3 linked regions of the Oreochromis niloticus genome follow. The protein of the gene in region 3 interacts with the protein of the main gene of each other region in a pairwise test. Links are inferred from orthologs where the notes say so. Each region holds a gene or a part of one and is shown on either strand. Other genes may lie near its edges.

Region 1 (8,235 bases), on a different chromosome or scaffold from region 3:
TAATAAGGCAGACAAAAGGTGAGATGGAACACCTGGATTTTTAACAAGGACCATCTTCCATAATGGAAGAACAGACAAAAACACAGCCCTCCTTTGATTTAATTCTTGCATGTTAATAAAACAGACCTTACTCTAGACTAATCACCCAGCTAAACAGCCCGTCTGGTCCATCGGCCTGCTGCATTTGAGAAGGCTGCCAACTGCGTAACATAAGGACGTGTGTCTGGTGCAACCACCTGGCCCTTCTGTGTAGCATCTAATAGGGTGAGCTTTCCAGTGTTAATGCCTTCATGAAATCTCTATTCAAATAAATTAATAACATACATAGCTGAGATTAAAAAGTAGAGAAAAAGAGTGATAGGCAAGTCTTTAAAAGATGACAGTAACAATATCAGCCTAAGCCTTATGATTAAGCATTTCACAACAGAGAGCAATGTCTGAATGAGCTTTTACCAAAACTTTACATTTTTGTTTTCTTGTAAGCTGTTCGACTTGAGTCTTAAACGCCTCTGATATCCAGCAAGCTTATTTATTTATAACCATGAAGGGTTTGGAAATGTAAGGTTGGATACTTTTATGTGAGTCTATCAACACGATTCAATAAATTTTAACAGTGTTTAAGTTTAACTCGGATGCTTTACAGTGGCAGATTGCTACTGTGACGATTGGGTCACAAGGAATCAAGTTTTTAAAAACACCATTTATATTAGATTAACTGAGTAGATTCCTCCAGCTGTAGCATCCTCCCATCCAGTTTTAATCTGGGGTCAACTTGCCAACACCAGCCTTGAGTTCTGACACCTTGACATGCTCTCTCTGTCACATACTGGCAGACGTTCCTTCTCAAGAGCGTGTTATACAGACAACGGGTAGGGTAGGGTTACCCCCCCCCCCCCCCCCCCCCCCCCCGCCACACACACACGGTCCTGTGTAATGCCTGGGTGACCTCATAAATGAGCAAGGCTGCTTCTTAGGACATAACACCATTGTATTAAAAAGTTGATTAAAATCGAGGAAAGACTGTAATTAGTCATATTAATAAGCATAGCTGTCAAACAGACGTACCTTTACACTGTCTGACTTCATTTCGGTTTCTTCATACAGGCCTTTCATAAAACCAGTAGTCCTGATGACCTGAAAATGGTGGGAAAAAGGTTGTTTTAAACAGACATGAAACTACAACTATATGCCATTTTTAGCTTCTGTACATCGAGAAGTCCACTCCAAAGTCTGTTTGCATGTATGTGCAGGAATAGTGCTTTTCACCTGTGAGCTAAAAAAAACAATATTTGCTGAGAATTAACCTAAACATTAAAGTAACACAACAACAAAAAAAACATTTATAGATTTAACAGTTTATGTCCTACAGTCATATTCAGACATATTCCTAGTCAGAGGAGGGGAGTCGAACATGCCGACACTCTTCCCTTTATCAAATATGCATGAATCTGGAGTGAAATATAAGACTGCTGAACAGGTGAGAATGAGTTGGCACCTCTGTTGAGAAGAGCGTAACAGATTTTACTCTGCTTGACACCTTATGTAAAAGGAGTCAACTGTGCATATAAAATGCTGAAAAAGAAAATGAAAGAAGCCGCAACTGAGCAAAACAAGTTTGATCATAAAGATCAGCAGTGTATTTACAACAGGACACTGACAACAGACCGTGGAGATGATGCAGTGTTTCCTGTGTGTGTGTATGTGTGTGTTTAAAGAACCATGATACTATAGCAGCAGTTGTACTTACTCAGAATGGATCTTTGGAAGGGTGGCTACAGATAACATTAGAATACATTCATATATCGTCCTGTTATTTCTGACTCTTAATTAAACAGATGGCAGTTAACCTAAAAAAATTAAAAACTGAGAAAGTTTTTTTCCTTTGAGGTTTACTAAAGCCTCTTTTGTTTACACATTAGACATTAGTCTTTTCTTTTAAAATTCCAGCAATCTTAGATTTCATAATGCCAATGATGAGATTTATCTAACTAAGGGAGGGGCAAAACTGTTCTGAGGAGGAAAATCACCTTTACTGTACTTATATTGTTTCCTTTCATCCCATTATACTGCCTGTTACTTCTCTCATGCATGTACTTAAGTACTGGCCTTTATAAAATGGCTTAGAGAAACAGTATTCAATTCAATTCAAGTTTATTTGTGTACTCCAAATTCCCTCATGGCAAGGTTATAACCTACAGTGTTAAAGAACTCCAACAATCAAGTGACCACCTATGATCAAGCACTTTGTGATAGTAGGATGGAGTAACTCCCTTTTAACAGGAATCCTCCAACAGAAGCATGCTCAGGGAGGGGCAGAGGAAAGAGAACAGAAAAGAGCGCATAGGGAGTCAGGACAATAAAAGCGTTTCTATTTTCTGTGTCAGAAGTGCCAGGTGTAATCACAACCTAGACCCATTCTGAACCAGAAAACTTTCACGTAGTACAATTGCTTTTCTAATGCACATAAAATACTAGAGTACGTAGCTGACCCTGATCTGTATCTGCACTTCTCTTCATCTGAGAGTAAAAGCTGCTGTGGGTTACTGAAGAGTCTGAGCTGCCAAGAACTCAGACATTTTACTGTGTTTTACTCTAGGCCACGGAAGACAGATCTTCCTGGCAAACACCAGAAAGACATCGGCTATAACTTCATCATATATGCATGGCTTGCGAGTAGCTTTAAAAAAAATGAAGGGAAATCAAAGAAGAGGCACCAATTATAGCACAGCCTGTGCTTGTTTTTAGCTGTAATCATAAGCTGATCAGCATCTGTGTTCTCAACGTGACGGATTCAAGAACCTAGCACAGGTTCATCCTAGCTGGCAGGTGCCCTCCTTTAAGCCAACAGCGGGGAAAACGGTTTGTTGATTCGTGTGTGGGCTCAGGTCGTGCCTAGCAACAAGACGACGCTGCTGAAACAACTAGCTCACTTGCTAACCCACCACATTAAATAAAGCGCAACCTGTCATTTAAGTGAATTGCTAATGCACCCCTTGACTATCAGGATTAGTGTTACTGACAATCTGAAGTTGCAGAAATTGGAGCTTACAAAATGTTCCGTAATATTCGCGAACCTACTTGGTTAGCTTCCTGCTAACCTTTATGCATTAGCTGGCTAACTAGCTCCTGTGTCTGTGTTTTTAACTTAGAAGTGGCATTAGGCTTGGCTTCTGAGAAGAAGAGTGTCGTGCCCCTTAAATAAAATCCACTTTGCTTTCTCGAGTGTAATGTCAGCAGCTGAGTCTCACCTCACTGAAGATATCGTGCAGGTATCGAAAAGGAGGCTTGCTTAGCAGTTTCTCGGTGAGCGGCGGCTTCTTTATCACTTTGCCCAGCGTGTCCTGGGTCTTTTTCACCACTGCCGCATTCATGGTAGTAAATAAAAAGCCAAGATAAGTACTTTTAATCAAGAACAAATACACGAAACTAACTAAGAGTGAAAAACTTAGTGACTCTGTCGCCTGGTTGCTATGTCTATGTCCTGCAATCCCACAGTGCATCATTAAAAAGGACTGCGCCTGCGCCAAAGGCTTACTGTTGCTAAGCGCTCTCTTTGTGTCCATAGCAACAACTAACAATCGGCTAGATAAATGGCTAGGCTAAGTAGATAGAAAATTCTTTATTATAGCCGCCAAAACAGAACAGCGTGGTTATATAGAGCAACAACTAGATAAAAGCATTCAATATACATACAAAATAAAACAGGGCATTCATAAACTGTAAGTTTTGGAAGCGAGATTATAAAGATGACAGTACTGGGGATTGCAGAGGTGGAAAGAATTATTCCTTTACACTGGACCGAGCTCCGGTATCAGTATTTGCAACAACAGAAATCAATTCGTTTTAGAAAAAATACTCCGCTGCCTGTCCTATAAGTTGTGGAGACAATGGCCAGGATAAAAATAAAAATGGCCTAAAAAAGGGCCATATATCCCTGTCTTTATTCTGGCATGGAGTGGGAGTTTCCTCTATACCAACACGCGGAAGAGTCATAGAAAGAAAGCAGTTTTAGAAACAACTGTACTTTCAGGCTTACACTTTTTAAGAGAACGAAATTTTAAATTAAAATAAAAAGTTATTTTGATTTAGTTAAATTTATTTATTTATTCTCAATCCATAGACTCGAGTTTCATCTAACAGCCCATAAAGGATATATGTTTTTAAACTTACAGAAGGGATAATAGCCAAATTAATGCTAGCTTCCCTATCTGCTGGTGTAATCCCACTACACAGCACAATTGTGCGCATGTGCGTGCTTCTTCTGTTTTTTTAAGCCTATTATGATATACCTGTTTGACAAGTTCGATAGGAAAAAAAAATCTGACAAAAGAGAGCGCACATAGGAGGGTCAGAGCAGATGCTTGTTGCTTCATATTGACGAGGTAAGACATTTACCTGCTACCTGAATATCTTCATTGACTTTTAAAAGTATTATGATTTCTTTCAAATGGTTAGATGCCTGACTAAAAGTTTGAAAAAGGTTTGTAAATTAAGGAACTGGTGGGGGTTTAATTATAATTATTTCAAATTACACTTTTTCACATAAATTCAGACTTGATTTTTTCCCCCCCCTTACAAATACAAGTGTGGTAACTATGTGTAGAATTACCGCTTATAAACCATTTTACTTACATGGTCTCAGGTGGAACCATTAATGAATTCTTGCTTGCTTGCTCCTTTGGCTTCATTGTTACTCTGCATACCGCCTTGTGAATCCTAGTTAGGCGTGTTTGGTGAGTCAGTGCAGCTTTATATATCTGTCAAATGTGAGTCAAGCTAAAACTGATTTGTGTTTTGTATTTAAGTATAAATGTCACTGAATTTCAATGGAACTCATTTGCCAACTTTCACAGCAGCTCTCTGAAAGGACAAGGAACGATGCTTCGCTGGGTCTTGCTTGCTTTGCTCATTGGCCTCTGTGCCAGTGCTGGGGAACAGAAAGCTAAAAAGAAAGTGAAGAGTCAGTCCTTGTCAAGAGGTGGGCAAATCTCCTTTTTTCAATATGCACAGCTCCAGTTAATGTCTAAAGAACCATTGCATAAGATCATTTATAGCTGTCAGACATAATAAAGTCAGAACTTTGCTTGTTTGGGAACATAGTTAATATACTGGCAACATGCAGCAGTTTTGTTGACTTAAAACTGTATTTTTATTTCCTGCCTGCAGGATGGGGAGGTGGTATTAACTGGGCCCAAAATTATGAAGATGGCCTAGCAAAAATGGCCAAAAGGTAGGACTCTAAACCTTGGGTAAAAGTGCTGGATGTCAGTTTATTTTGTTTGGATAAGTCTGTTCCTTTGTTGTGTCTTTCTGCGTTGGAATGATGCTCCATTACTTTTCCATAAGGGAAACACATTATTGCTTTAATCTTCATCTGTCTCTAAATCCAGCACGGGGACTTTGCTTTCTAAGGCATTTGGTTGTGTAAGACTGCCTTCACACCCTTCACTGTGTTTATTGTGTTTTGGAATGTACTGAGTTCTTTCTCTGTGGTTTTGCTCTCACAGTCAGAAACCTCTCATGGTCATTCATCATAAAGACAACTGCCCACACAGTAAAGGTACTGCTGCTACTTTGGTTTATTAAGTATACATATATATTAAAAAATATAGGCTTGCACCTCCTGCGCTGTCTTTCTCACCCAGACTTGGGCTTGTTTGTTTTCACGGGGAACACAATGGGTGCATTCTGTAATACCCACAAAGCAGGCAGTGAAGTATGTGAGAGTTATGTTCATAAATCACTCAGCTGGTTTTGTGAAATAAGCTCAGTGGAAGTCTCCACTGGCATTTCTTAACCCATAAACAATGACGACCACCTACAGAGTGAAGTCTGGCTCTAAATTTTGAGTTTTGCTAGGGTGGACCAAAAGCAGCCCGTTCTGCATCCTCCCTCTGAAAGTCTCAGAATACTGAAGCATTTCGTTTGATTGCAGCAAGTTGCATATATTTTTTTATTAGTAATGTGTCCTCATTTTAACAAGACAGGATTCATATATTTATAGTGTGTTGTGTATTCCCTTACGTGAATGCTCAACACAGATATTCTAAAGGTCCAACCTGCCAGACTTGTTTCTGACCTGTTAGGCAAGTTTATAAATGCAGTCTGTAATAACTCAACAGGCTTTACCTCCTTCTGACATTTTCTAGGCAGAATACATTTATTAATATTTCCAGATCATATAATTCATAATTCATTCATAATTATTTGAGAGCCAGTCTAAATATAATACTAAACCAAAGTATTTCAACAGACCTGAAGAAGGCATTTGTTGCGGATAAGACTATCCAGAAAATGGCAAAAGAGGATTTCATCATGCTCAACGTGGTGGTAATTAAAGATATGTTATATATGCAGAATATATATATATATAATTATTTTATTATTAAAATCATGTGCATCATGTGTACTATATTGTTATACACAGGAAGAGACTTCGGACAAGAATCTGGCACCTGACGGTTACTATGTTCCCAGAATCCTCTTTGTTGGTAAATTCTTACATTATTAATATAATTTCAATATAGAAGAACAGATTGTTTACTTTCCTTGTCTGAGGTTGAACAGAGATACATGCATAGCACAGAATAAAACCATTTAAACCAGGCTTTAAATACAAACAGCACCCCTTCATGCTGGAGTCTCTGTAATGCACGGTGAGCCAGTGAAAGGCCACTAACACTAACACTGGAGTACTTCTCCTTCTTGTCCCTTCAGTTATCTGGCTGCAGCATTTCAAAGTAATTGTAAATGAGCACGAGATGACTGACTAACTGCAGTCTACAGTGCATTACAGATGTCCAGTCTAGATGTAACAAAAGCATGCATAACCCTGCCAGATCTAATGGTTTGGATAGTCCCAAGGTTCTTTTTGCTTTCTCACTCATTGTTTTAGATAATGAATTTTACAGAACCACATTCAGTTTACAAAATGCACATCAGCTGTCACATAATACTGATTACTTTTCTGAGCTGTTCATGTGTGTGGTTTTTCTACAGATCCAACCATGACTGTGCGCACAGACATTACAGGAAAGTACAGCAACCACCTCTACACCTACACAGCGAGTGACATCCAGGACCGTGAGTGACTGTTCACTCTCTCTAATGACAGTTTGCACAGCTCACCTGTCAGCAGACTGCAGACACACTAATCCCCCACAGCTTGAATCCCTGTATCCCTTCCTCAATATTTTGACAGAAATGACTAAGTTTTTTTATGAGATTGTTCTGACAGAAAGAATTTTGAGCTCCGTGTGGATGTTAGTGAGAAACTTTAGCAGACTTGTAGCACTAGTAGCCAAACAGGTGGGAGTTTTGCAAATGCAGTGCAAAGACGAAGAGTTAATTTTTTAGGAGGAAAAGAGAAGGCAAGTGAGGTATGTGACACTGTTTCTTCCTGATATATAATCATTAAATCATGGCTTTGGAAACTAAAAGCACAATTAACACACTTGAAGCACCAGCATTCATTATGTGTTTGCTGATTACTGTTGTGTCACTGTAAATCATTCAGGGAGTTATTCTAGGTCCAAACCTTGTGGTTGTTGGTCCCAGAGACATTTGTCTTTAATATATTTAAAATCTAAACACAATAAGAGTCATCCATCAGAGTTGGCTAGAGTGTATCCCATCTGGCTACATCCTGGACAGGTTGCAGGGCTAACACAGAGACACAGACAACCTTTCACACTCACATTCATACCTATGGGTAATTTAGAATCACCAGTTAACCTAACCCTTTGGACTGTACCTAGTGAGAACATGTAAGCTGCACACAGAAAGGCCCCAGCCAGGCGATGGAGTGAGTGTGAGGCAACAGTGGCAACGATGCCACCGTGCCCTGCCAATAACCTTAAAAAACTTCAAACAAGATATATTTAAAAAGCACAAAGTAAATCTCCCATCTCTTAAACAAACCCCATAAGAAAAAAAAATATTTAAAACAAGAAGTTGAAGCCATTAAATGTGTAGTAATGGAAAAGTAGCACCTGCAGCTTAGGTTTAGGTTTCATTTCTGAACTACTTCACTCATGTAAGAGCGCTGCAGGCCTTGCTCTTATTTGTCCCTTCTTTGTCCACAGTGGCCGACAACATGAAGAAAGCCAAAGTCCTGCTGCACAGCGAACTCTAACGTGGTGCCTGACGTCTCAGCATCTTCCACACATGACTGCTCAGTGGCCAGAACTGAATTATTTAAATGTTTTTGGTGCTCATTAAAACCAAAATAAAGGA
Region 2 (8,567 bases), on a different chromosome or scaffold from region 3:
TGTGCTGCTGCATTTACACAGGATGAGGTGGTAACCTAGCTACAACATAGCCAGAGCCTATAAAATGAGGTGGGAGTGGTCTACCTTTGACATGAGTAATGATGGAGCGTGTATGTACCTGTGTAACCTCTAGAGGTGTGACGGCAGGCTGCAGCGGGGCTCGAGGTATGTACTCTCCCGTCTCCTCGTCTAGCTGTAGCTGTGCCAGCAGGGCCTTCTCCTGCTCCCGGAGCAAATGCAGCTTCTTCTCCTCCTCCAGCTCCCGCTGCCTCTGGAGCTCATGCTCTTTCTGACGGTGGTTGTAGTCAAACACTTCACGCCTGGCACCAAGATCAATGTCTTGCTTCCACAGTATGTCAATCAGGTCCATGTCCTAAAAAGACAGCCGCAGATCGGTTAACAGAGTTGCAAGCAGCCATGCTGTCCTGCATAGGAGTGTTCTGAGCATCGGAGCAAAACAGAACGTCCCTGCTGCGAAGCGTGACTGTTGCACCTGCCACACCCTGTCCCTCAGTATCTGATCACCGACAACAACACAGGCACTAATGTCAAGGGACAGAAACTGCATGAATAATGGACGCATTTCTCTCCTTCCTCTGTTGTCACCACACACCAGCAAAAGACACATATCCTCATTTGATACTTTTTCCAGTGAAGGGAAGTAGTCACAGCTTATCCAGTTACGCAGAAGTGTGAATTTGTTTGTCGTATTCAGACTCGCACACAGTCAGGGATCGTTTTTTAGCTAGTACTTGAAGTTCAGATTCAAGTAAGTTCACACATATTACACCATTTAGAAAATGTGGCCATTAAATGTATGTGTTTAGGTGGTTTAAGTATACAGTATTATGGTTGGTGAAGAACATATAAACATATAAACAAAGAACAGTAAAACTGGCACTGTAATTCGTCACTTATGATTATGCGGTAAATCTATAATGGTGTTGCATTTATACCTGGGTGTATATGGCAACGGCTGTATTGATGGCAACCTATAGCTACATTTCTTTGAAGGCGCTCCGGTTACGGCAAAGGCTACAGCGTAAGGTTTCAGAAAGGTCTGCGGTTACAACCTACCTTTGTACCTAATCATATTATGAGGTCATAGATGTCATACTGAGTGAAATTAAAATGCTTATTTCCTCAATTTCACCCTCACTAGGTATTTAAGTGAACTATTACAAGTACTACTAAATTATCTGAGCACAACAATAGTCTTGTCCTACATATATTTACACATTAGGCAGAGCATGTGATGACATTTTAGTACCATTTCCTGTAGATTTCCCCTAAGCTGCTGATTGTTATTTGCCTTTTTAAACAAGAATGTCTGAAGATAAATTATGCTGGCCCCTTCTCTGGGCTTTTAGCAGAATTTATTTACAGAAGGAAAGTGTTTCACAAGGCCCAAGGATGTTACATAAACCCGCGATACTGGTTTACACAAAAAAAAACTCTGAGCATGTGACTTGTTTGTTCCTCAGATTTGGGTGTAAACATTACTTATGAGCTTGGGTTTATAATACAAAAAAAAAAGAGAGAGAGAGCCTAGAGAAAACCAAGAGGGAACTGAGGGAGAATAAAGAACAAAGCAGAACAATGTACAATAAGGAGGATGTGGAACTGTTTAGAAAAACCCTGTCAGATAATGTTTTCTTCACTTGTTTTTTTGTTTTTTTTTTAATAAAAACAGGATGAGTCACAAGCCTCTGCAAACTAATAATAATGGCATATGGGCATCTATAAATACTTTAAGCCATTGTTGACACCATTTTCCTGACTACAGCTGTGGTGCTGAAGAAAAAAAAAAGAACCCACTAACCCTCTTTGCCTCTGTGTTGCATCAGAGGTATGACCACTAAAGGATTACACATTACTAAGGCTGCTCGCTGGTTGGAAGGTGAGCACACAACTAGACATTATGGTTTGTACAGGAATGAGGAAGTCCCTTAAAATGTCTGTGTGGGATGTCTAAACTCACTTCTTGAGGTTGCTGATGTTTTCTAACAAACAAAAAAAGAAGAAAAGAAAGAAAAAAGAAAAAAACACTCTTGTCTGTTGGTCACACCTAATAAGCTCATCAGACAAGTCACACCAGTCCTTTAGAAAAAACAACCACCGCAAGGCCAAAAAACAGCCTGTTGTCAGTCAGTGATTTCAGTGTGGTTGTTAAATTAGCCTGTTGTTATAATGCAGCTTTATAAACAGCACATTCTGTATTAATGACAACTGGGCTCTGTGAGTGTGGGCGTGCTTAAGTAATGGTGTCACTATCACCTGTCAGAAGACATGGACTGGCACCAGAACAAGAGAGGAAAAAAAGGCTGAGAAAACTACTTCCTGCACCTTGATGCCAGACAACAAGTGTATACCAGTCAAAGAAGCTTTCACACACAGAGCCTTCAGAACGACAGTTACCAGAGATACATATTAAACCTAACAACAATCCTTTAGTGTTGGTTGTTCATTTACTTATTTACGGTTAAACCCCAGGGCCCGAAAGAGGGACCAGAACCTGCTGTTGTATCATGCCTTTCCTCAACACCATTCAGTGGACATCCAATCTCAACTGTGGATGATGAAACACAGCTGCACAGCCATTTGGGCCCTCATCAGTCAACTCTGTACTTCCACTGACCCTTACCTATGACAAGCTTAGCGAAACACTGAAGATCCGAGGGCATGTCACAGGAAAAAATAAAGTTCAACCAAGTTCAGTGTTTTCATTCACTGTATAAAACAGCTAGGAAAACAGGTCTAGTCTAATAGTTGGTCCTTTTTTATTAACTCTGTAAAACACGCAGCAAAGACATAGGCAGCAGTAAAAGAAATCATTCATGGTGGTTATAAAAGCTATCAGATATGGGATCACATGCTTTGAGGAGGAGGGCGGGGTGGACAGGGGGAGATGATGACACAGTTACGGCAAAAGCTTCAACAGAGTCCAGGTTCTGTTTGTCTAACTTGCCAAGATAAAAAGAACCTGTTATTTTATTTGGGCAATTGATCACAACACTAATATCTGAACCTGTTCTGTTAATGGGGACTTTTTTCCTGTCCAGGAAAAGCGTCACTAGTGGATGACTTGCAGAACTGAAAGAGAGTTAACATGTCTAACTCTAAGACAGCCTGTCGGCGTAGTCTACCTCACACTTTTAACGCTATAACGTCTGTAACACCGGCGTAAATACACTAGTACTGTAATTTAGCTGTAATTTATGATAACTGATAAATAAAAGTTTAAATAAAGTCTATCTCTCTAATAGCCCGCATTAAAAAAGGAAGTTGACAGTCAATGTCAGATAGTTTGTCTACTCTTTTCTAGCGATCACTTTTGAGAAATACTCTATTTACCTGTTGACCGGAATGCATCACCTCCATTTCCATCATTATGGAGCTCTGTCGTGAGGTTTTGAAAAAAAAAAAAAACTCCTTATGACTGAAAAATTTGTGTGTTATTCCTTAAAATTGGATATAAAAATGGCGAGCGGTCTGGAGGCGATATAGTCCGTCACGGGAGCTGAGCGGCGAGAAGTGCTGCTTCCTCCAAACCTAATGAGCATTACGGAAATGATGGCCCTCCCCACCGGGATCGTCCCCCTCGCGGTGGCCTATGAGGGCTGGCGATAAGGACTGTGTGTGCATGCGCATGGAGTCCATTTAACACAATAGTTGCCACGCAAAAAAAATTACACAATATATTTATGTGAAAGTTAAAGGTTTTATGATACTTTAACCAATACGTAAATTGCAACATGTAATACCTTCGTTTATAGTCAGCGTTATATAAGCCAGCTCATAAAAGAAATATATATAATGTGTACCTTCTATTTTAACTCCGTCACGGACATGACCAGACTTTGTTTGGTGCATACCTCCCCCTGCTGGTGACCGTGACCGGCGTGGAGCTGGAGACCCTGGGGCCCTGATGTTCCTTGTGCAGCTGGGTAGACCATCACAGAATCATAAAGAGAGAAACAGAACACCCAGTTTAAAGTTACAGTCCTGCATTTAAAGTTTTACTTTGAAGCTCAGACCTGTTCGCGGCAAAATACCAATATGTGTTAAAAGCCCCAGTGCAGAATGACCTCTGTTAGGTTTTGTTTGTTTGTTTATTTGTCTGTTTGTTTTTGGAAGGGAGGTAGGCGCATAAGAGATACTAGTTCAAATGGGTGGAACTATTACTAACATCTTTTGGGAGGAGGTTGAGGGTGTGGGAGTCAGACTCTGCCATAATTCACTGGGTGTTCTAATTGGAAAATCTTCATCTGTCAAGTAATGAATCATTACAGTGGGTTAACTAAATGTGCTACAAGCTAAATTATTCCCTGTTACACTATTTCTCATAAAATTAAACAAAACTGACGTAATGATCTAAAACGTCTAAGTAAGGAATCTCAAAGATTTGCAGATCTGTAACTCCTTTCCATTATCGATATATATGTTTGTTTTATGTAGTGGAGAAAAAAATATTAAAATTTTAACCATTATAATGCAGTAAAGGCTATTCTTCAGAACTGGTACATATATGAAGTTACTGTAGAGTGTAGAGTGTAGAAAAGTTGCTTAGGTTATATTAATATTGTTATTATTTAGCCAAAAGTTGCTAAGCTTACCGAAATACTGCACATTTCAGTACATTTTGTAAGGAAATATGCAGGTTTTTACTCGATTTACTGGGCAATTACCATATTATAGTATATATTGCAGTAGTTTTTAAGCATTTTATGCTATTTAGTACTTCTACGATAGATAGATAGATAGATAGATAGATAGATAGATAGATAGATAGATAGATAGATAGATAGATAGATAGCCACTAGTTAATCAATAGTAGTAATAGTATAATATCCTAAACCATAAGGATATTGGATCACTCTGGGTCATATTGCTGTGTTTTATAGCAGCGTTTTATTAAGGTACAGTCTAATAATTTCTTTCACCACATGTGCTGTAGATTATTAACATTAATAACAACATGAAACATTGATCCACCTTGACAAACTAGAACATTAAAATACTATTTTAACAGCAAATTATATCCATTAACAAGTTAAGAGTATGAAAGAGGACATTCTCCATAAGCACTACTTTTCATTCAGCTAAATGTTGTTGGTAATTCCTCGGACCTTTCCAAAAATTGGAATGTGGGTTATGATTTATTATTACTTTTCCACTTCCTAAGTAGGCTAAAGGATATAAATCTTCTCTCCACACTGGTGGAGAGCACAGGTATGTAATAAACGTTGTAGCAGTCGATCTGAGATTCGCCCATTTAAGAAAATTAAGAGGAGGATAACCCAAAGAAAAACCCTCATTCTTAATCACATTTGAATCATTCTGAAACCTCGGCGTTAGTAAGAATTCGAAACCGAGGTGCCATTAAGTGGCTTTTCAGATATGCCCGTGTAATAAGACAGGCTTGTTCCCGGTTGTAGCACCCATCTGTGAGGCGTCTCGCACTAAAGTGCAGCTCGCTGTGCCACTGCGTGAAATTACACTAAAAAAGCCTATTTTTGCCTCTCGTGCGCGCTCCTGAATACGCGTTCACGTTTGGCAGCTCCACGTCGACATTCTTCCAGCTGCATATAGTGAACTGCACAGCACTGGGGGAAGAAAAGGTAAAAGCGGCGGCGGCCACCTTACGATTAGAGCGCTGCAAGTCCGCCGATGGACATCAACTGCAGTGAAAACAGGCGTTTGCAATGTGAATCTATCCGTGGCGTGCAAAGTCCTCAGTTCGCTTTCATCTTTTGCGTTTTATGATCTAGACTGTTTTCCCCTCGTGTTGGATTGCAGCTGGTCCCTTGTGTCTACCTATATCAGGTACAGTATGACTTGCAAAGCTCACTTTGCCTTTAAAATCGTACTTCTTAAAGAAATAATCGTTAAGATTCCGGTTGACACGTTGCAGTGTTGATTTTGAACGTTATTTCTGCACTTCTGAAGTTGCTGTCATTTGGTTGCTGATGAAGTGCCAAGTTTCCAACTACATTCAAACTGTTAGAACTCAATACTCCTGGAGCTCAGCTGGCCTTCTGAACTTTCCTCATTGCTATCATATCACTCTTTTGTAAATGGGTTATTCTCAAGGGCCTGTTTAATTCAGAAAGTTGTTAAAGCTCAACAGGTAGTCATTTATGCCCTGTGGTACTTGAAGTGAAGTAATCCTTTCAAAAAGGTAGCAGCAAGACTGTAAAACTTAAAATATGCCAGCCAGCGTAGACTTAAAATGTAACCTTTGCAAGCAACCAGATGGGCAAGACTAAAGAGGTAAGTAAATACACTCAAGAACCATTTTTGAGGAGGGTGTACTGCAGGATCAACTTTTGCACACACCCAAATATTATTTAGGTCTTTAATCATTTCTGTATTGCTAGCAGCGTGTAAAAAGACACCACCTGGCCTGCTATATACCTGTGTGACTCTAGGGAGGAACCACCAAACAGCTCGCCTTTCTTCAGGCCCGTCCTTAACACATTTAGATCTTAGCTCTGCCTTTTTGAGCTGTTTTCTGTTATATTTTTTTAGTGGAGTCAGTATAGTGAAAATTAAAAAAAAGATAATACAACATGGCTGTCTTGTTTTCCCTTGCTTTTGTGCCTTGCTGCAGGTTGAAGGAGCACCCAGTCATGAGGAGGATAAGGTTCCACACAAGGACAAACCTATGAGGTGGCACTGTGGCTTTCCAAATAAAGTTCTGTGATACACTTAGACTCTAACTGCCCGCAGTCAGTGCATTACAGAACTTTGTTTTGGAAGTTAATACTTTAACCATTTGGAAATAAAACCTCAAACATCTGGACATTTTAGTTTACAGAATGTCTCATTGTTTCTGTTGGCAAATGTTGTCTAAAATAAAGTTTCTATTTTAATCCATTTTTTACAGTCTCTTTCCTTCAGTACTTTAATCCTGATTGAATTGTACTTCACAATAATGTTGCTTGTGGTGTATTTGCTGTCGTTTTGTGTCAAATCATTACTTTAAAAGCAGCCATGTGGACCATATGGAAGTGGTAGTCACGCTGGTCAGGTGACTGAGTGGAGGTGAAGCAGAAAGGTAAACAGTGTTGACTGTTTCAAGTTACTCTGTTTTTACAACCACATCAAAAAAAAGTGCACACATGAGCAATTTTGACCAGGTGACGATGCAGCTGTAGTAAAGGTAAATCATTACAGATGTTCTAGGATTAGTTTACATTTTTAAATTTGGATTCGTCCTACATATATCTGGCTAAAAATGAGACAATTAAAAAATTCTGATACTTAACTTACAGACTTGCTGAATTGTATGTTTCCACTGTTCACTTTCATGCATTTGTGTCAAAATGGTGTTTAATGTAGGGTATAAGTGATTCTTTATAAATCCGATAAACTCTTTAATATTCCAAACAGAAGGGTTACCGTTGTTTTATATAATTTACTAATTGCATTTACTATCTTAGGCACAGACTGTATACTGGGCTAAGCCATATAAAAGATGTCTCAGCAGTAAGTGGAACATATGCAACCAGCCCTTTACAGTCTATGCTAATGTTGCAATGCATGCTGGGAAACGCGTTAAATGGTGCATTCAAACGCTTCTCGTTAACTCCTTTCAGAATGAAATGGGAGCATTGCATTGATGTCAACGGTTCGTTTAAAGGTTGATTAATAAAATAAATACATAAAATATTGTCATTCACTTATTTATAGTATGAAACTTATGGAGATTGTAGGCACAAGTACAATCCCGATCACCTACAACCGTGAACAGTTTTCTTTTCTTGGGTCCTAAAATGCGGAAAATCCTTAATCTATGTTAATCTATGTTCCAAAAGATAAACGTCTAAACGTCTAAAACATCTTTAAAAACGCAAAATGCTTAAATTGAGAAGCTAGAACCTGTCCAAGTTTAAATATCTTCAAAATAACCTTAAATAATGCTCTGACCTATGCTTTTCTTAATCGACTTACCGTTTTCAGGTATAAACTAGCCCAGTGTCTGATAACAATTTAATGTACCCAAAATAACAACATTTATTTTATATTGTATGCTTTAAAATCCTAACATTACATTTAACACTCGCGTGTGGGGGTTTGTTATTTCCTACAGGCATTGAATGTGCCACACTTTCCCTGCTCTGACCTCTGACAGGAGCTCGCGGATCTGCTCCCTCCCTGTACAAACACGGAAGCAGCATGGCGTCCAACAGCAGCGGCAGCGATAGCTCTGACAGGCAACGCATTGCACAGCAAAGACTGAGTGTAATTGCCGGGCATTTACAGAGACCGGTGGAGGGTAACTCGGGCATCCTAGCCGCGGAGTGCAAAGCCCAGGGAGACAAGCTAGATGTCTCCAGCGAGCGGAGGACTGTGCCGAGGAGGAGGTACGAGGCTGTGATGGAGCGGTGGACGAGGGGGGCTTATCCGCTGTGGTTTTGGGTACTTTTTAAGTCAAACTTAAGTGCATTACCAGCTAAACATGAGGCATTTGGGTGGCGTGCAGCGGTAGGCTGGTTGCTGTCTCCCCACTAGACATAAATATCTGTTAGAGACGTAGCTGAAGCGGAGTTTGGTTAGCTTCA
Region 3 (8,599 bases):
AAGAGAGCAGCTTTATTTCTTTCTAAACTCATTTTATTCCCCGCTCTCACCTCCATCCCTGTCTCTGGCCCGGTGCGTGTGGACACCCTTTGCTCTACTGTGCCCCGTGCTGTCGATGTGCTTGTTTTCAGGGCTGTCAGACCTCCTGAGCATCTTGCAGGGAGGGGTGATGTCTGAAGAGTCTCGCATCTTGTCATGCCGGTGGTCCCCTCCTGGATGGCTCTTGGATGAGTATTTGAGAGTCTGTAAACACAAATCAAATGCCTTACTAAAAACCTCACACTTAAAATAGATCTACGCTTCTGTTATCACCATTAGCAGGTTTCTAAAAGCAGCCATGGTGAGTACAGTCCTCAGCTCTTTAAAGTACTGTCATGTCATTTCATTCATAGTTTCAATGATGCAGAAATTAATTAGCACGAGGAAATACATATGTATAAATTGAGCAGCTTATTTATCGACTTCGCCCCTTCTATAAGCTTATATTTAACAGCCACGTTAATTTAGCCCGTATTTCTGCTCATAACAACGTATGCATGCAAACTAACACATGTTAAATGACGAAGTAAACAACATTTTATCCGACCTACGAGTATTAGCTCGCCATTTCACTTGGCTATCGCAATTTGAATTAGGTAGTGAATACACTGGTTTGCTGTATAAATGTCAAGCACTTTGATATTAAGGAAGCTTAACTGGCTATATCCTTAAAATGACAGATTGCGGTCAGGCCCTAATCGGACTGGCTAGCAAGCAAGCTAACAGTAACAAGCTATCATTAGCTTTCAGCTGTAATAAAACTCGCCCGTACCTTTTCCAAAACAGCCGACTTCGACGAATATGTTCACTCTGTCAAGTCTTTACTAGCAATGCTAACGTTAGGATACATTTACAGGGCTTCAATGGAGGTTTTAAGCAAACCTTTCTACTTTTTGTGTTATTTTCCGCACTGACTGGGGCCTGTTGTGCTCTCCAGAAGCCTGCATTAGAGTGTCCATTTTAATCTTATTTGCTGCTAGCAAGCTAGCAGGAGACGCTTGGCTAACAAGTACCTGATAGGGCTGAGAATCTCTTCGGTCGCACCTGCAAAGAAAAAGGAACCAGTTGTGAATTTTAAGCTTCAAATGTCAATGTTCAGAAATCGGTGAAAGCCCCGCAGCGAGTGAGGGATACAAGTTTCCACACAGTTATTTTGGTTTCAGTAAAAATGGCGGATTGTCAAAGCGTAGCTATGAGGAAAAGGAAAAAAAAATCTGAATAAGTAGGGTTAAAAGGAGGTGTTTACCCATCGCCGAGTCTCGGTTGTTTCCTTGCATACATTACCATCAATGCCGTGTTAGTGTGATTGGAGTGGGATGTGAAAGACTGATAACTGCACTATGTTTTCGTGTTGATTCAGCGACCTGAAATCGCCAGTTATTTTTCAGCCTAGCTTCTGGGTATTGCAATGCTAAATCGGCTGCACTGGTCGAAAGAGCGCCCTCACTCAGTCCATCTCCCACTCTGGCTCACAGCCGTGTCTCTAACAGCCGAGCAAACGTAGCAGAGAAGCTGAGCTGAGACCGGGGTTGCCAGATAGGCCAAATCCACCACTAGGAGCACGCCTTCGTGAAGTCAGAAAATGTTTACCCAGTCATGCTAATAACATTATATGTGTGAGTTTTTGTTGCTCTCTGTCATGTACATATATTTGTTAAGCTCATACTGTTAATTTTACTTTTACATTACCGAATTTGGATATGTAAAACTTACACATAAATGTTTTAATGGCGCATTAAAATCACCTCGTGTGCCAGCACTATGACGTCACTGATAAGTATTTGGAAAAATGACGAGTATACATTAACTTCAATTTTTTTTGCAGACCTGGCAACCTAGCTGCAACCGCTGCAACTACACACACCCCCTTTCTATGGCAACATCCGGGCCACAAAGCGACTGGAGTCCCCTCAAAACTTGCAAAAACGTTAATCTGGGTTGCTGCATCGGATATTTTCTACCCAGAATTTGGATTTGATGCGCGTGGCTCTTGTGGTCCTCCATACTGAATAAACGATTATGAATATAAATATCATGTTTACAGATCTGAGAACCAGTGACTTGTTCTCTCCTGACATCTAGTGGTTGTACTTTGACATCGCAGGTAATATTCATCAAAGCGTCAGCAATCAGTAAAACTGCACTATCTAAAACACGGTTTATGGTATACCACAAACGACTGGGAAGATTTTGAATGACAGACTTTCCTTTGTAAGATTAACAAATGAAACAGGGGCCATTTTTTATTACTGTACTATTCTGCTTTCAGTCAACTTTTTAAAAAATCTGTCTGTTAAAAATTTATGAAAGGGATATAGTAATGATAAAAAAAACAAATCCAAACATAAATATATAAATCCCCAAAGGAATCGTTATGAACTGAATTATAAACGCGTACTACGTTCCCAACACAGAGTTTGACCAGGTTGTATTAAAGTCTGAGTAGCTGTCACAAGGGGGCTGCAGGAGTCCATTGTTCCCAGACAATGCAGCCCACAACATATCCCAAGCCCGAGGACAAAAGAAGCTGCAGTTAAGCATTTTGGCTCACAGTGCAATTTAATGTGGGGACAAGAGGCCACAAACAGGGGGTGTTTCTATTGTTAGCATATTTCAGCAACTTGTTCACACACGCCCAGTGTTGCGTGTGTCCATGTGTATGATGTCTCTGAGCTATATTCAAATTCCATTAATTAATTAATATATTTATTTACGTATTTGTTTATTTGTTTTAAGAATAAAGCAGAAATAAATCAAATCACTTCTGGCCCGTCATTGGGCAGCTTGTTGCTTTCTATCTTAATGTGGCCGGTAGGGGGGAGGTATCACACCACTTTTATGGCTCTAGTACGAAAGGTACAAAAACTCACCTGAACACTAGATTCTGTTGGGTTGTGGTTTTTCTAGTTCTGATTTCTTTTCCAGCTATTTAAAAAAGATACAGATTACAAACTGTTTCACTGAGATCCAGGGAATAAAAACTGGCAAAACATTAGACAAAACATTAACGGCTCGAAGCAAAACAAAACAAAAAAGTCCGACTATGCTACTGTTCGATAAATGAAAATGAATTACTTCACTCCTTATGTCCAGATGAACAGAATCAACCTTTGGAGATTTACTTACCTGGATGATTGAACATGCATCAAGACGTTCACTCCTTATGATTAAATTGGCACAAATAACCTTTGCTTTGGACGCACTTCTGTAAATTTCCCATCTATTTGTCCATGAACATATTTCCTCACCGACCTGATTTTTAATTGTAATTGTGCCTCCTTGCTTACTACGGAAAGGCAAGTTTACAAGGCATTTGTGGATGACGGACAACAAAAACAAGCCAATTAAAATGTAGAATGAATCTCTGGACACGCCTCGATAGAACACTGACCAATGAACGAGCGAATGGGGTTGCCTGAGTGGTGAAAGCCCCGCGCGGCACAGATCTGAGAGCAGCTCTGTGTTGTTGCACGCCCTCCCGCTAACGCTGTGTCTAAATATACAAACCGCTTCCAAGTCAGCCCCTTGACAGAGCACTTTACGATTCTTGGAGAGTGGCACTGTCTGCTGAGGCGTAACGTTTTGAAAGCTCAGCAAACACCGCAGAGAGCGGGGATGAGTTAAGGGGTCTACAAAGGAGAGAACAGACGGTTTTGAAAGTGGGAAACAAAACCAGTGAAAAGTTTTGCCCTCCAAAGAACCAGTGGAGTAGCTACACCGTGGCCATTCAACTCCGAACTCCGAGTGAGTAGAACCATCACGTTATTTATCCTCACAGCTGTCAGAACAATGAAAACAAACTAACATATTTGTATTTAAAATAAAAGCTGCCTTGGATATTGCAGTGGTTCCATGGGGAAATGCGTAAGGCTATAGGTAGCAAGACTAGCCGTGTGACAGTATAGTAGAGGTGGAGTTGCTTTGTATGCGCTAACCTAACAGCGAACTTCAGTTGTTACCAACCTACAAAATATACAAGTGGGACTTGTGCCAAATTTTACACGGTAAAATTGATTTATTCGAAAGAAATGTTAACCTCGTCCCCTTCTTCCGACATTATATGCGCATTGAAATGTGAAATTCTTTCCTAATATCGCCTTTTTAGTAGTAAAATAAAAATTTCACCTGACGGCTTTTCTCGTGTGGGGTTTCCGTGGGGAAGTGAACGCAGCTGTGTTGCAGGGCCCACAACAATGTTTCGAAATGACCGTAATAAGTTGTTATTAGTGATAGCAACATGCACGGCTACATGTACAACCTAATGACACGACACAGGTAGTCCAACCTGGTAAAATACACACAAAGCAAGCATAAATGCAACCTTTCCACAAGCACACACACCTACAATGTAAAGCTCCTTCTCCCTCTATCCACGCCTTGTAGTGTGGACAGAGGGAATACAGAGCCCTTATGCCCTGCGAAGTCAAGTATGGTGACACGGAGCTTGACACTGGCTGACATCGCCAAGCCTCTGACTGGGCTGCCACACCGGGAGACTCAGCACTTGGCCAGCTGCCACCGCCTCCCAGCTCCGCCACTGGTTTTGCATATTTTGAATGTGCATAATCATGATCAGGCAGGTGTGTGTGTGTGTTTTGTCTCACACAATTCCTTCATAATCCTTATTGCTCTGCCTTCATATAATTATAGCTCACACCCTTTGTGCATCTTTACTTAAGAGTGCCTGATAGTCCAGAAGTGAAAGTATCTTCCTATAATGGGTTTCTTGAAGTGGCCAAAAGTCAAAGGGACCCAAGACACCAGTATAATTTGCTGAATTAAGCTGTTGTTTTCAATTCCTCTCATTCCTCTGAGTCACTCATTCCCTTGAAAGTTAAATTCATAACCACTGACTGCAGATGTGGCTGTCATGTAAAAGAGGAAGTGCAGTGATGTTTGGAGGAAACAGTTCATTAAAAAGAAAGCTGGACTTCACTGGCAAACATCCCATTGAATTCAAGGATTTTCCAAATTTAAATCAATGTCTAGGTGGCCTTATTCCAAATAAACCTCTCACTGCTTGCTGGCAGGTAAAGTGCCTGAACTGTGTCCCATCACTCAGTAGTGATTTTGTTCGTATCCTTTTACCACATTGTGGTGCTTTGGCTGAGAGTGAAAAGGAAAAAAAGATGGTAAGAGGATGACCTTCTTTTTCTCATGGTTCACTGCCACTGAGGGGACTTTCTGAAGAGCTGACATTCCTCTGTGTGGTTTAATCTACAGTTTTTTTTGGCCACCTATTGTGCTCTCACTGGGAATAACCCAGTTTTTTTGTTATTGTGTTTTTTTTAAAAATCTGGTCTAGAAAAAGGTAGGAGGCCTTTAGTCTGCATTCCAAATGGGCAGGAAAAGTCTCTCAGGAGACTTTGTAAGTATTTTAGTCAAGTTCATTACTCCAGCTTGTTTTTGAGGTCAGCAGTCGGGCATCATGACAGAGGGTTTCATTAAATCAGGTTTGTCATGGTTAGTGGGTTCAGGTGATGATTGAAGGGGTCAAGGTACAAATGTTTGCATCCTGGAAATTGACTGTACAAATGCCTGCTGCCAGATGATTTTCTTTTGTTTTTTGTGCACATAGTTCTCTGGAGTGTGTATATGGGAGCAGCGGAGGTTAGGGTGGAGTCAAATGCTGTGACTCAGACGAGGCTCCGTGTAGGAGAGTTTGACCCGTGTTGGTTGCCTGAACAGGTGTCTCCGAGCTGCAGCTCCGCATAGCTCGCATTCCCAGGGTTTTGTTCCTGGCGTGGATGGTCACTGAGCTGGGGGAGGGAGATGTGGGAACTAAGAATGCTATGCGTACAAGGCTTAACTCCCAGAATTCACCGTGGCAACCTGCTGACAGAGACAAACGCTTCCTGTCCCTACAGCAGCCTGGTCTATGTTGATGAGAAACCTATCAGCAGCTCAGTGCGGTGCCCACGGCCGGAGACAAAGCTGAGATTTGGTTCGGAACTCCTTGTCAGCAGGGAGGCTATTTTCTTGGAGCTTAAGGGTGGGTGGGATACAGTGGTTTAAGACTCTTAATCCAAGTATTAGTTTGGATTACTATCATCTCTCAGAGTCATGGGAAATTGCCTTGTGTGAAGACAGTTCATTGGAGTTTGCCTGACCACTCTATATCTCTCATGTATCTGTGACTCTCTTGGGTGTCCTGTGGGAGATGCTTCAGGAGAATGGGGTCCTGGGCCTGTTGTTAATGCTGCAGGTTTTTAAGTATCCTGGAATCTTGTTCACAAGTGGGGGAAAGAGTGGACAGATGGATTGGTGCAGCATCTGCATATTCTATTCAGATTTTATGAGGAGAGAGCTGAGCCTTGAAGCAAAGCTGTCAATTTGATTGGTCAGTTTAAAATCTGAGCTTTATCTCTGCCCATGAGCTAATGTTAGCAACTGAAAGACACTTATGCCTGCCTGGACTCACACTTATGGACCCGTTATACCTGTTGTTAGGCTGTGTTGCAACACACATGTCGCCACATTTCTGTAGCAGTTCTACCAGCACTGAGGGCGTGGTTACTTTCTGCAGTATTTTCCTGAACACTAGGTGTCACTACTCAGACAAAACCTTCATGTCAGCGCTGCTGTACAATGAGAATAAGTTAAAACTTGAAGCAAAGTCTCATTTTTTTCAAACTGTTGCAATATTGTCCTCTGTATAATCTGTGAATCCACAAGCTTCTGTACTTGTGGAGCAATAAAATGTTAGTAAAAGCAGCCGCAGAACCTACATGTGCTTACAAAAAACTGAGAGGTGCACGACAGGCTAAAATGACACCAAAATCTAGCTCGCAGCAGCGGATGTTGCATCACCCTTGTCGTACGGCGCCATTTGCGAAGGCAAGGCTGACAAGTTTCCCATCTGAGATAGAATCACAAGGTCAGCGTGTGAGGTGTTTCAGACATGGCCAAAGAGGAAACAGACCCTTGGGCAGAGTCAGGATATACTGTGTCTCTCAGCTGGCTTGGAAACATCTCAGCATCCCCCGAGCAGAAGCCTGGTGTCATGGGAGAAGGAAGTCTGAGCAGCTGTGCTCATACACCAGTCTAAGCACAGCTGTAAGCATTTGACTTGGAAGAGAAACGCTGGGAAAATAAGTTTATTAGTGTTTCACAAATGTTTTCTTCTTAAACACCTCCAAGAATTGCTTATATTTAATATGAAAGCTAATAAATGAAGTCTAATTCAAGCAGTAGGCAGGTGTCCGCTAATTGTGAATCTTTGGAGTACAGTGTGCAGCTCCTCTGGCACTGAAGTGAAGCACAAGACTAAAAAATCCACAGAATCATAAGAAAGACATGGTGTTATTGTAGATTCTTTTAAAAGTCATTGTGTTTCAGCAGTACTGTTCTTCATCAAGCGCTGCGTTCTCTTCGCTCAGGTCTTCAAGCACTGCCTCGTGGCAAACCTACTTTACAGCCAGCCATTTGCTAAACTTGGAATCATATGAAATATGAATACAAGTATGTTGTTTCACTAGCTTAATCCATTTATACAGTCTGAAGCCAGACTGATCAAAATATTTTTACACCTCACATGTAGATTTGTCAAGGGTCTTATAAAGCACATTTTGATCACACATGTTGCAACCCATGTTGTGAAATTGACAGCTGAGAAGTGATGAGATTGTTAAAGCGAGCTTCCAGGAACTAGATCAACGATTCTGACATCAGTGGAAGTGATCCTCTCTGACTCAGTCTGTTCTTACTACATCACTGCTGTTGTTGTAATGATCCAAGCAGCATGTATACTGAGAACAGGTTATCCAATGATGCACCAATCTCTCCATCGATCCATCCATCCATCCATCCATCCACCCACCCACCCCAGTCATTCTTTCATTACACCATTCATCCATGGTCTGTCTATAGTGACAACCTTTCTGTAATCTGTGAGTTTGCAGTGGACTTGTGAGCCTTCTGCCGCTCTGCCAATCCCAGATGGATACATTAAACTGATGTGCTCGTCGGGGTCCCTTGCAGGGGTCATGGTTGATGAGCATTAGTGATGCTGTGTTCTCATGCCCCTCCCTGCCTTGCAGAGGTGTAGAGTTTCTCTCAGTACCACCTAAGCCTCTGCTGTGCTGCGGTGGAATGAGCCCACCTAGCAGATGCCAGCTATCAGACACCGATGGTCAACTGCATCACATTCCAGCCTGTGTACATGAAACGCTGCGCTCACTGTGCAGGCATGCAGCCCTCCTTACTCACTGTGGCCCATTTTTTTGATGGAGAAAACAGAGACTGAATGAATGACAGCACTTAGTGAAAATAAGTGGAGAAAATAATTCTCCTAAGGGAGAATGTCAAGCCATGTGCTACTGTGTAAAGGTCTAAACATGATTAGTAGGAAAGTGATATCTTGTTGTGGGATGCTGTTTTCTTCTCATTTAGGGCTTACGCAATTAAGACATGCACGTGCTTAGTTGCATTCCTGTTCAGCTACATCTCTTACCTAATTTGATTTGCATTTAAAGCCTTTGCGCTAACAGGAATATGTACGGTAAATTCTACATACATGGTTTTCTTTTATAATTAGTTCAAAGACAATGTCGCACAGTCA

Evidence for each region.
Region 1: the proteins of waca (region 3) and traf3ip1 interact in a two-hybrid assay, tested with the Homo sapiens proteins (2 studies listed by BioGRID and IntAct). The link is inferred for Oreochromis niloticus from reciprocal best matches to the Homo sapiens genes WAC and TRAF3IP1.
Region 2: the proteins of waca (region 3) and nfe2l2a interact in a two-hybrid assay, tested with the Homo sapiens proteins (2 studies listed by BioGRID and IntAct). The two-hybrid records come from large-scale screens. The link is inferred for Oreochromis niloticus from reciprocal best matches to the Homo sapiens genes WAC and NFE2L2.

What each region holds. Positions count from the first base shown.
Region 1 is NC_031987.2:3,857,659-3,865,893, reverse strand, and holds the start of traf3ip1 (TRAF3-interacting protein 1), read right to left. Parts: upstream 3,531-8,235; 5' UTR 3,504-3,530; coding exon 3,249-3,503; intron 1,135-3,248; coding exon 1,066-1,134; intron 1-1,065. Other genes in the region: agr1 (anterior gradient 1), read left to right, coding at 4,879-4,978, 5,167-5,230, 5,508-5,560, 6,254-6,330, 6,428-6,491, 7,000-7,083, 8,085-8,134.
Region 2 is NC_031987.2:17,010,374-17,018,940, forward strand, and holds the start of nfe2l2a (nuclear factor erythroid 2-related factor 2a), read right to left. Parts: upstream 3,558-8,567; 5' UTR 3,391-3,557; coding exon 3,355-3,390; intron 374-3,354; coding exon 119-373; intron 1-118. Other genes in the region: agps (alkyldihydroxyacetonephosphate synthase, peroxisomal), read left to right, coding at 8,182-8,369.
Region 3 is NC_031974.2:29,244,015-29,252,613, reverse strand, and holds the start of waca (WW domain-containing adapter protein with coiled-coil), read right to left. Parts: upstream 3,276-8,599; 5' UTR 3,182-3,275; coding exon 3,166-3,181; intron 2,965-3,165; coding exon 2,910-2,964; intron 1,526-2,909; exon of another isoform or gene 1,327-1,525; coding exon of another isoform or gene 1,286-1,326; intron 1,084-1,285; coding exon 1,053-1,083; intron 244-1,052; coding exon 51-243; intron 1-50.